Linked DNA regions of Arabidopsis thaliana. The protein of the gene in region 2 purifies or fractionates together with the protein of the main gene of each other region. This does not show direct contact. Each region holds a gene or a part of one and is shown on either strand. Other genes may lie near its edges. The genes, in order: UBQ8 and ACD6.

The links.
Region 1: the proteins of ACD6 (region 2) and UBQ8 purify together in Arabidopsis thaliana (affinity purification with western blotting, with the first as the bait; one study listed by BioGRID). This does not show direct contact.

The regions. Positions count from the first base shown.
Region 1 is NC_003074.8:3,003,075-3,007,784, forward strand, and holds UBQ8 (ubiquitin 8), read right to left. Parts: upstream 3,177-4,710; 5' UTR 2,933-3,176; coding exon 1,037-2,932; 3' UTR 788-1,036; downstream 1-787. Other genes in the region: CCR1 (CRINKLY4 related 1), read right to left, coding at 1-91; AT3G09800 (SNARE-like superfamily protein), read right to left, coding at 3,657-3,716, 3,866-3,950, 4,101-4,178, 4,273-4,420, 4,532-4,691. UniProt on the Arabidopsis thaliana protein: Ubiquitin exists either covalently attached to another protein, or free (unanchored).
Region 2 is NC_003075.7:8,292,236-8,299,886, reverse strand, and holds ACD6 (ankyrin repeat family protein), read right to left. Parts: upstream 5,723-7,651; 5' UTR 5,350-5,722; intron 5,227-5,349; 5' UTR 5,220-5,226; coding exon 5,144-5,219; intron 3,675-5,143; coding exon 2,925-3,674; intron 2,797-2,924; coding exon 2,264-2,796; intron 2,181-2,263; coding exon 1,527-2,180; 3' UTR 692-1,526; downstream 1-691.

The DNA.
Region 1 (4,710 bases), on a different chromosome or scaffold from region 2:
CAATCGGACCGGAGGATCCAAATCCGGATCCGGGTTTGGGCAAATACAGGAGAATGAGAGAGAGAAAGAGGAGAGAGCAACGGGTTTCCATTGGAGGTGAAGTTCATGAACTGTGAAAGAAGAAGATTGACACAAGCTGCCATTTGACAGTGTGATGGCTAACGAACAGAGAACGTGGGTGGCGTCCTCATTGGAGATGAGAGCAAAAAGTTTAAATATTTTATTGAACAACTAATTTACTGTATCTATTCATATTCATGCATGTAAATAATTTACGTATATATAATCCCTGGGTTTTTGGGGGTAAAAAAAGGTATATACTATAGTTGATAAATCGAAAAGAAAATTATTTCCAAAAAGGGAAAATCTAATGAAATTTGCCTTAATGGGAGACAATAAGATCTAATCCCAGTGATTTCATGTCAGTTTTTTGGAGCTTTAAAACAAAAGAAAAACTTTTTTGTTTGGTTGTTGTGGAGCTCACCGTCATTGTCAACTTGTCAACATATATGAAATGGATAATATAGTAGGTAACAAAATAGAAGTAAGATAGGAGTCAATAATTCATAATTTTTCATGAAATTTTAAATTATTGAGGAAATGATGTGTGGGGTTATAAGTTCGGCGTTTTTGGTGCATATAATTCCAAAAAACATGCATCGGTGCTATAAACGCAATGTTAGATCCTTTTTCTAATCTTAAAATGTTTTACTTCAATAATTTGCTTCTTAAATGTGTTTGGGTGTATACTATAAACTTTATCCAAGAGTTTGTAATACTAAGAACTAGCCAACTAAAAGAAAAAAAAGAACTAGCCGACTAAATGAATTAAACATTAGCTCTTGCTTCTTCGATAACAATATTGTGCATTATCAGGATTAATCCGATGGTAATTGAGATTTACACTGCGGAATAAAAAAATAAGAAAATTATTATTGATAAGACTTTAAAGTTGAATGGTAAAAGACCATTTATGAGCCCATCAAAACGTAAAACATAACGAGAGAAAAAAACAAACCAAAGCGCTAAAAAAAACTCAAAAGTCATATCGACGCTGACGGAGACGGAGAACAAGGTAAAGAGTTGACTTTTTATGAATATCGTAATCCCCTAAAGTGACGCCATCTTCAAGCTGTTGTCCGAAAAATATTAGCATCTGTTGGTCTGGTTTGATTCCTTCCTTAACTTGGATCTTTTCCTTTACATTGGCGATCGTGTCTGAGCTTTCAACTTCCAAAATTATGGTTTTTCCGGTAAGAGTCTTGATAAAAATCTGCATACCACCTCTCTGAAGAAATAGCTGATGGATAGTTGATCCTTTCTGGATGTTGTAATCTAGTAGCGTTCGACTACCCACAAGCACTCTACCACCAAAGATAAGTCTCTGTCTGTCCAGAGGAATTCCTACCTTGTGTTGGATCTTAACTTTTACATTATCAATGGTGTCTGAGCTCTCAACTTCTAGAGTAATGGTTTTACAGGTAGGGGTTTCACCGGAAAATGAAAATGTCTTGACGAATATCTGCATACCATGGCGAATATGAAAGAAAAGGTGAAGGGTTGACTCATTCCGGATGTTGTAATCCCCAAGAGTACGGCCATCCTGGAGTTGGCCACCGCGAAAAAGCAGTATCTGCTGGTCCGGGGGTGAACCTACCTTGTCTTGAATCTTAGCTTTAACACTTTTAATGGTGTCTGAGCTCAAAACTTCTAGGGTAATGATTTTACCGCCAAAGAGTTTCACAAATATCTGCATACCAAGGACAAGGTGAAGTGTTGACTCTTTCTGGATGCTGTAATCCGCAAGAGTACAACCATCCTTGAGCTCTTTACCAAGAAAGATCAGCCTCTGCAGGTTTGGTTGTGGTTGGATCCCTTCTTTATCCTGAACCATGGCCTTTACATTTTCGATTGTGTCCCAGCTCTCAACTTCCAAATTTATTCTCTTTCTGGTAAGGGTCTTGACGAAAATCTGCATCCCACAACGGAATCTAGTCACCAGATACAGAGTTGATCCTTTCTGGATGTTGTAATGTGCTAGGGTTCGACCACCCTCAAGCGGTTTACCAGCAAAGATAAGTCTATGTAGGTCCATAGGAATTCTTTCCTTGTCTTGGAGCTTAGCTTTAACATTGTCAATGGTGTCTGAGCTCTCAACTTCTAGGATGAAGTTTTCACCGGTAAAGGAATTATAAGGAAGGTTTTTCACAAATATATACATATCACCGCGAAGACGAAGGGCAAGGCAAAGGGTTGACCTATTCCGGATGCCGTAATCCGCAAGAGTACGATTATCCTCGGTGAAGAGCTCTTCACCGTGAAAGATAAGCCTCTGGTGGTCCGGGCGTAAACCTTCCCTGTCTTGAATCTTCGCCTTGACATTTTCAATGGTGTCTGAGCTCTCAACTTTTAGGGTGAGGGTGTCACTGGTAAAGTTTTTACCGGAAAAGGTACTCACAAATATCTGCATACCACCGCAAAGACGAAGGACAAGATGCAGTGTTGACTCTTTCTGGATGTTGTAATCGGCAAGAGTACGACCATCCTCGAGTTGCTTACCTGCAAAGATAAGTCTCTGCTGGCGAGGAAGGATTCCTTCTTTATCTTGGATCTTGGCCTTGACGTTATCGATAGTGTCTGAGCTTTTGACCTCAAGGGTTATGGTCTTTCCCGTAAGAGTCTGCACAAAGATTTGCATACCACCTCTCAACCTCAGAACCAAGTGGAGAGTTGACTCTTTCTGGATGTTGTAATCAGCCAAGGTAAGGCCATCCTCGAGCTGTTTACCAGCAAAGATAAGTCGTTGCTGGTCTAAAGGAATGCCTTCCTTGTTCTGGATCTTAGCCTTGACATTATGAATGGAGTCGGAGGTTTCAACATCAAGTGTTATGGTCTTTTCTGTAAGAGTCTTTGCGTAGATTTGAATTGTCATCTGTAAACAATTTTTTTTATGGGAGAGAAAGGAGGATTCTGAATGGTAAGAACCAAAAAGATCAGGCGAAAAAAGATGATGAGAAGAGATAGAAGAAACAAATACCTTGAGAGAGAGTAGTAGTACTTCACAGAAAACTTTTGCAGAACGATCGATTTAGGGTTTGAGTAAAAGCGTTTCTCAGTTTATATAGAAGAGGAAAAGTTTTGGATTTAAATCAGCTTTCGATAATTATAAAATATTCGACTTAATCTGTTAATTAAATAATTCGAAATTTAGTATTATCTTGTTTATCGCTTTGATTTTTTTATAAAATGCGAACCAAAACAATTCTTGCTTTGATTATTTTTATAAAATACGAACCAAAACAATTCTTGCTCTTCTGATATGGCGTGCACCTCAAAATAGAAGGTTCTGAGGGGTGGCACTTTAGTCTTTCTTCACCTTACAAGATCACTAGCATCTGAAATCGCTTGGAAAATGAAATATTCCTGAATTGCTTAGAGTTTAGACTTCAATTAGAGTAATAAAATTCCACTCTCCAAAAACATTCATGCATTGCACAAAGCTATATATATAATCAAACCTTTACTACCAAACTTTAAGAGTTTGTTTGCAGAATTCAATTATTAGAGACTTTCAAACCGAAAGACTCAAAAATAAAAAGTTGCTCAACATAGAAATTGAAGTCCATGCTTCTATTATTGTGTCGCCATGATGGAACTCATGTAAGCAGACTTCTTGCCAGATGCTCCCGAGCTGTTGCTAGCGCTTGTGTTAGTGTCTGCAATACCGAAATGTAAACAGAGGGTTCAAATTAGAAGTTCACGTTTGTGTTTATAGCCAAACCAGACCAAAGTTATAGCAAAACTAAATCAAGACTATTGCTTTTCCACAGGGAGATGTAACAATAATAGTCAAAAGTGTCGTTACCTGTTCAGAGAGTGAACCACTAGCTTCTGTGCTCTGCATTGCTACTTTCCCCGCAATGACGTTTGGATCCGTTTCAAGAACCACCCTTAACACATATTCCATAATAAGCCACAATCAGACAATAGCTAACTGCTAAGATATATGGGACAAGCTTAAAAAAGGTTGAGCAAATCTTTAGCATGCTTAAGACTTTTATGTAATTGTCGTGTAGGGCTAAACTATTAAACTTGCATACCCTTGATCGACCATTTCATCAAGGCATAGAAAGATGAGATCCAAGTTCTCAAGGGCTTCCATCTTTTCCACATTGCTCCTGGTAAAAAAAAAAAGGGATGCATCATACTTTAGTTGTGGAGATGGTTGATCAATAAATAAAGGCATATTCAGTTGTCAAGTCAAACAAATACCTCAGAAGAAGTGCAACAGCATCAAAAAAGCCTTGAAGAACAGAAGCTAAGATGAGCTCGTTTTCATTTTCACCTCCAGTAACAAAGAAGTGAAGGTCCTGGGCAAACTTATAGACAATAATATTGCTGTCCAACAGTGTGATCTCAGCTGCACATAAAACATCGATATGGCTATTTGAAAGAGATAAGTATATAAGCATACACGAAGTCAGGAAACATGATAGAAATTGTGTAGATGAAAAATGTTATGTAGTCTTACCTTCTGTACGAGCATTGGTCTTAGAGGTCTTTGAGAATACATACTTCTCAAAACTTAACTTGGCGGCATTAGTTGGCCAGTCATCCGAGTAATACTTGACAGCCACACGCTTTCCTTCAGAGTCTAGAAGAAGAATCTTCTTTACCAAAGGACAAGAATCCTATTCAATGTACATTGGA
Region 2 (7,651 bases):
AACAGAGTGTTTTTTTTTACTCAAATTCCTATTCGGGAAATGACAAATCGCCTCTAGAAATACACTTTTTAAAGTATTGAAAGATAGACAAACAAAAAAAAGACAGAATCATATTTTCATGCGTAGATATTGGGGAATTTTATTGAATTTGCATTTGTTCTTTTTAAGATAGTAACTTTTTCATCGAGTGGAGTTGAGTAAACCAATCCGATGCAAGAACGTCTAAAGGAAAAGCAAATCGTTGATACGTTTTTGACGAGCAAGAGCATGAGCTTGAGAACTACACAATCTAGGATCAAATTCAAAGAAATGAAAAGGAAACCAACTTTCCAAAACGCAAGAATTGGTATGGTTTTATGAATGGTTCCGCCATGTCAATTCAGGTTTAGAATCCGCGAGTTGGACATAATCTATTTTATTATAGGGTTATACTTTTAGATTTCTAAAAAGTCAGGGTTATCGAGTTAGTATATGGCGGATTACAATCTCAAATGAATTAACTCGCATATCCTGCGAGTTAACCAATAAACAAAATAATATAATTAAAATTATCAATATTTATTTAAAATATAGTAATTTGTGATTTGTTTATTTAATTTGTTAGATATTATTGATTTTTAAAATAATATTATAATCTGTCATAAATTTATTTTACTATGTTTAAAAACTAATTGTAAAAAAAAAATTTACTTCTCAGAATAACTAAACAAGAAAAAAATACACTAATCAACAACAAAATTTACGGTCATAAAATGGATTGGGTTAGTGTTGGTGTGCTCTACGGTGTTGCGCCACTTCGCCAAAACTCACACAATTACATGGTGGGGTTTAGTGAAGCGAAATAAAGAAAAATTTGTATACATAAAAAAGAGAGAGAGAGAAGGAAATCAAAAGTAAATGAGGGAATAACAAGATGAAAGATTAGTGGAGATATGATCAGAGATTCATATCTTGATAGAGCCAGTCTCATCAAAATCGTATAAACATCAACATTGACAAAAAGAAGAGTCTACCTAGTCATGTTGTGGTCAGTGGTTACAGTGAACGAATAAAGAGGGTCCCTAAGTTTTTGCACCTCTTGGAACAATCTAACGTCGTATTGTCGTTGCCAAACGTATCTTCAAATTTTTATACCCCAACAAAAATAATAATTCTTGTGAAGTATCGTCTATATTGCTCTTGAAAACGACTCATGTGGAACGCACGACGAGAATAAAAAACAATTTACCTTTTTTTTTTGTTAAACTCATCTCCTTTGAATGTGGTTCATAAATTCGAGAGATTAGTAAACTGGTATCCACTAAACCGAATAATAAAATATCACTCGATTATTTTAGAGGAAAATCTCTTCGAATGATATACTTTTCACGCTTTATTACAACTACAGATAATTCTGATAGGACTTCGAATGAGTTGTATGATCAAGATGCCGCTTCTCAGAGCTAGAGACCAGCATATCTCGTAGCTTTTTGAAAGAAAAAAAAAAGAGAAGAAAAATATCCTTTGATCTATAAACTTTTGATGATTTATTCGGAACACGCCACACAACCAAAACAAGCTTTGATCAAAATCACAAACAACTCAGATATGTCTATAGTCAGCATAAAAGTCTTGAGAAATATACCAGAACTGGGCGGAAGGTGTGAGCGCTGTAGCATGACGTGAGGGCCAAGGATAAAGATTGCGAAAAGGAAGAATCCACCAGATATAATGCTAATGGTGACTAAAAGCCATTTCACATGGGCAATTGCAGTGATCACGCCAAAAAGGAATGCTACGGGCATGCATAGTAATGAAAAAAGTAGTAAGGGCAAGGCCACATGTAAGGATTTGAGGATGAGTGCTAGATCACCCAACTGCGCCCAAATAAGAGTACATATTGTTGCAACAGAACTTTGCATTGCCAAGATGTCAAAAAGCAGAAAAATGAAGAGAGTTGGGTTAGTGGCCAAAGTTGCCCTGCCCAAGTTTGGTTTTTTGCTATCGCTGATATAACCACCTGGTATTGTAAAGCCTGCAGCAAACGTCACTGTGGCTACAAGAGCCGCTACCACGAGAAGAGCGTTGACGTAATGTCTGTTTTTCTTAGGGTCTAGTGGCACTGACTGTATTGTTAATGACTTAACAGATTCGAAACCACTTGAGTGAATAGCGTATAATAAGAGCGCCAGTGTCCACCTCTGTAATTCCAAAAATATGGAGGTCAAGCTATAAATCATTTATGAGGGATCAAATGTGTTGTATGAAACGGAATCAGAAATACCTCATGAAAGATGTAGTTGGGTTTCACCTCTGACTCGGCAATATCCCTAGCTCTTAAGCCGCTTTTGTTTCGTAATTTCAGTATCTCGTGGTTACGGCTAGCAAGACAAGTAATGGAGTCAAAGTCCCAGTTCATGACGGCAAGGTGCAAAGGTGTATTCCCGTCCACATCTTGCCCAACACCCAGATGTTTCGTATCTTTATCATGCATCAACATATATGCAGTAAGAGAGGCCTCATTTTTTGCCGCCACGTGGAGAATGTTCTGACCAAGTCTGTTAAGAAGGTATTTTGAAGCTGGACAACGTTTTATAAACTCTTTAATAATTTCGTAATGTTCGTTTTTTGCAGCCGAATGAATTGGAAAAGAACCATCTTGGTCGCAGACATAAACACCCTTTGTTGATCGGTTTAAGATGTTGCATAGTCCTTTATAATACCCAATGGATGCTCCGTATGAAAGACAAGTCCTACCATCTTCATCTTGCTCGTCCATAAGACTTGGATATTCATCAAGAATAACATCAAGGACACCTACTCAAACAATTGGGAACAACAATTAGCCATCTTGGGGAGGAGATTCTCGTCCCAAGCTGGTTTTACATAATTTTAACAGATTAAACGTAGCTGTTACTGATTATTAAAGAAAACAAAAAACAAACCTATACTTTTGGCCTTCAAAGCAACATGTGCAAGATGTTTGTTCCCTTGTAATTTCGAATCTAAGTTAAACTTCCTCACTTCACGGTCCACGTTGTCGTCTGTGGTTTTCAAAATTGCTTTCACAAGGTCTTCAAATTTATTTCCAGCGTCTACGGCTTCGTACAAGGAAGATATTCCCTTGTTATTTCCAAGAAAAGGAGCATCCTTGTCCGCGTTCACCAGACAGGTAGCCATCTCCAAATAGCGTCCTTCAATGGCGTAGTACAGAGCAGTATTTCCATCTTCGTCCTTAAGAACATGTGGATTCAGTCCCTCACTCTCTTCAGTACTCAGACTAGCTAAAGCAGATGTTACCGATGCAACAAGAGCCTCAACAACTTTGGTATGACCGCCATGAGTAGCCACATGTAGCGGTGTCTGACGGCTTGAGTTTTGCTCGAATAGAAGGCATGGACATTCAAAGATAATCTCCTTCACTAGTTCCAGATGACCCCATTTAGCAGCAATATGAAGAATTGAATCTCCTGTATTGCTCTTGACACGTTCCATTGGCGTTCCATTGCTTCTCAACTTCTCCAGACATTCTTTTTCCCCATTACTCATTCCACCAAAAATCTCCGGAGTCATCTCGACATCTTCACCAGGGAGAGCGAAAAGATCCGACAATTTAAGGTTAGTACGGAACTTTGGCACAGGTTCGGTGTCGCCCGTAGGTGACGTGGTGCCAACTCCTCCGCTGTGAGAGAAATCTGGTAAAACAATTTGTTACCAGGGTCAAAATAGTTATTTACTAGTATAGTAGTTAGTATCTTATGTAGATATATCGAAAGTTTTACAGCTCTCTTATCGCTAATTTTTATCACTTCTAACTATTTTGTATCACTTACGATTGTTTTCTTTTTGCCAAAATATTTCTACTGTTTTATTTCATCAATCGAATTAACCACTCGTCTTACATTTCATGAGACAAAATTTGTGAGTTCTAACTATGAAATCAATTAACTTATGAAAAATCTAAAATATAAATTTGTAAATATCAGAATATAATAAGTTAATGAAATCATAAATATCTTTATCTAATAGTCAATTCAAAATTAATCTAAATTTTAACTAATCGAGATTTGTCAAGTTGAAGACTCATAAGAGAAAAGAACATAAACACTTGCGCGTTTTGTTAAAAAAAAATTATGTAGATTTTTTACTAAATTATATAAATCTTGGATAGTGACATTTATTAGTTCTTAACTATCTATATTAATATTTTTGAATTACATTTTAGAGAGTAACTTTGTTTTCAGTTAGTATTTACAAAGAATGTCATTACTTATAAGTTATAACCAAACAACTTTACAATTAAAAGATTTTAACATCAATTATAAAATAAAAAAATCATAAAATTTAAAAGAATGATTCTCCTATCATTAAGATTTATTTTTTAATTATTTTGAATCATCATATAAGACATAAAAAGTTTAATTTGTCTGTATTCTTGTGATTCCAATTGTTTAAAACGAACATATATTACTCAATTAATAGAAAATAAATTGAGTTCAACATCCAACATCAGCTAAAATATTTAGACAATCGTTCAGAGCCATAAAAAAAATAAGATAAAAAATGAATTCGAATCTTAATGAACATGAAATTTAACTTAGTAAATATCCAAATTTACAAAGTTTCTATACGGTTTTTTTTATAGTTGAAATGTTTAAGTTTACCTGATATAGTAAATTTTTTAAGTTATAATATTATAATTAATAAATCCAAATTCAATTAAAAAGTTTAAAATATTATAAATATATTTAAACATATAAACAATTTAAAATAATATAGGACAAGTTATATTGTGAGACATGTTATATGGTGAAACAGGTTTGAATCGATATTAATAAAAAGTTAAAATATTATTAACCGGTAATTCATATGGGTTATATTTTTATTAATTATTTTGTTAATAAAAGACATGTTGAATAAGACTAATTTTATTAAATTTTTATAAAACAATATAATTGTTATGTGGTATATTGCTAGTTATATCCTAGTGTTATATCCTAGTTTATAACAAGAATCAAGTAGAATAGTTTTTCCTTATCTTTTTTATGTAGATTGGTTGGTTTTGCATAGGTGTCAATAATAATTTATATAGGGTCACTATACTCGTTAATAAAGCACATGTAATGAATATTCAAAATTTGTGGCCACCCTATGACTCATGTACCTTTCCGTTGATCATGAGAAACTAACATTGACCTTTGTGCCTCAATTCTATCTAGATCTGCTCCAGAACTGTCCATCGCAAACCTAAAATAATCACACAAATGGTTTGAAAAGTGAAAACACAGATTTAAGTTTACTAGTTACTACCACGTCCACAAACAAAAAAGTCAACCATTGCATGCAGAAGGGGCAGAGAAAAAGACTTACCAAGTGGCAGAAGAATTTGAGTAATGCAAGAGCTTTTGCTTAAGGTTCGTCCCTTAGTTTTAAAAGTCGTTAATGTCTCGAGTCATGGTTATCGAGAGGAGTGGTGGTCTCCTATAAATAAGCAAAGGCCGTTCTTATCTTCTGTCTTAAAACTGTCTTGGATGCAATCCACCACACACAGAGTTTTCATATGAAATTGTACATGTCTTGAAAGCCGGCGATTAAAAGATGACCCCAGTTACTAACTCATTAGAAGACTTTGAAGTCGTCTCCTAATATAGTTGGTCTAAATTTGTATTTTTTTTTCCTGGGAGAAAGTGACAAGATGAGTAATGCAAATTCTAAATGTCGTTACTGTCTCGACTCAAGTGAAAGTGGTGGTCTCCTATAAATAAGCCAAAGGTCGTTCTTGTCTTCTGCCTTAAAACCTATCTTTGCCTTAAATGAAAAAAGCAATCCACCACACACAGAGTTTTCATATATATGGAATCTTACCATGTCTTTAAAGCCAGAGATTAAAAGATGACCCGAGTTATACTAACCCATTAGAAGACTCTGAAGTCGTCTCCTTATATAGTTAGTCTAAATTTGTATTTTTCTGGGAGAAAGTGACAACGTGACCCTGTTTGTTATATGAATCACTCCTACCTCTTCATGATCTTTCTCTTTATCTTGCAGTAAGCTTCTGGATTGGGTTTTTATCATTTCTTTCCTAATTACGGTTTCACTGTTGTAGCCCAACTATACCCAGACCAGAGAGCAAGTTGAGGCGGGGTTTAAGCGGATATAGCTAAAACTTATAGATAAATTAGTGATTCATTGATTGTAGGAATACCAGAAATTTTAGTTCATCGCAAGTTTATTAGTTTACTGTTGCTGTATATTCATTCTCTAGCCAAAAAACAATTACGCTTGAAACAACTTTTTTTACATGTACATCATACTTTATATTTTTATTTTATTTTTTTCCTTATAAATTCATTGATATCAAAACAAGATTACAAAGTCAGTATACAGTAATTTTTGGAAACAATTTCTTACATAAACAGATATATACGCCATATAATGAGAAATATACACCAAAAGAAGTAAATTTGACGATGTTTCAAATAAGTCTTACTCGCTATAAGATTTTTAAATCCTATATTTTCTTTCTCTTTATCCGATTTCGCTCTAACGCAAATTGTTTGCGTGGATAGCTTTTCTTGGCTTGATTTCCAAAGTGCACACTGCATGGTTAAACCTATTGATTCTAACATAAGTTCTGAGGCTATGACTATCGGATATTCGGATACCAACACTTCCGTAACCGAGTCTCTCTATGGGGATTTGACTTTGACTTTATGATCTTTGAAATCAACCTTTGAAATTGTTTCCGCTTGTTAACTATGGTTTCCTCCTTCATCCCAAAATGCCCTATCTTCCGCAGTTGTTGCCTGATATATTTTTCCTTGATCGGAAATAGAAAAATACAAACCCATTTCTCCATCCTAAGAAACGGTTTTGGGTTTGCAAATTCAAACAGTTTCTATCAATTTATCAGTTATGGACTCAAAAGTTGTTATGTAGCATTGGTTATTGTAAGTGATTGCTATTTCTATAGAGAATTTGGTAACTTAGCTTCTTAGTTTTTAGCATGTAATTGTTGTGTAGAGTGATTCGTTTACTATGATATGAACCCATTTTACAGTGCTAACTGCTAAGACGTCAAGGACGGTTCAGCATAATGAAATAGTCTTCTCATTGTCCTCCGTCACATCACTAGTTGTATGGTTTATACACATTATCTTATAGGCAAAGATGTGTTTGTTTTGTTTCTTGTGTTGGTTAGCAATCGAATCATGTGTGTGTGTTTTATTTTGTTTGCTAAACGGCTGAAGTAACTTGCCGTTTTTTCGTTTTTAATTACTGTAATAGTATTCATGTTGCGACTAACATATAACTTTATTTGGCTGATTTATTTAGGCAAATTTTCATGTTTGTTTGGTGGCTTACTTGTCACTTCATCAATTAAAAAAATGATGTCGGATGCAACAGTCCATGTCATCATCATCAAAGGAAATACGAAACGTTTTTTTTTTCAACTCGTCTTCTTCACATGAGTTTTTCACATCATCGGAATTTCCAATTCATCACCGTCTTCCTCATTCTTCTTTCATCCTTCTCTCGATACGATTGGGTAAAGAATTTGTATTTAACACCGTCGATAAATGGTGTAGAGTTGTGCAAATAGATACGGAAATAACGCACGACAAGCTTGTGAAGTCGGTGTTCGATGACTACGGATTGAGTGAGTTGAGCT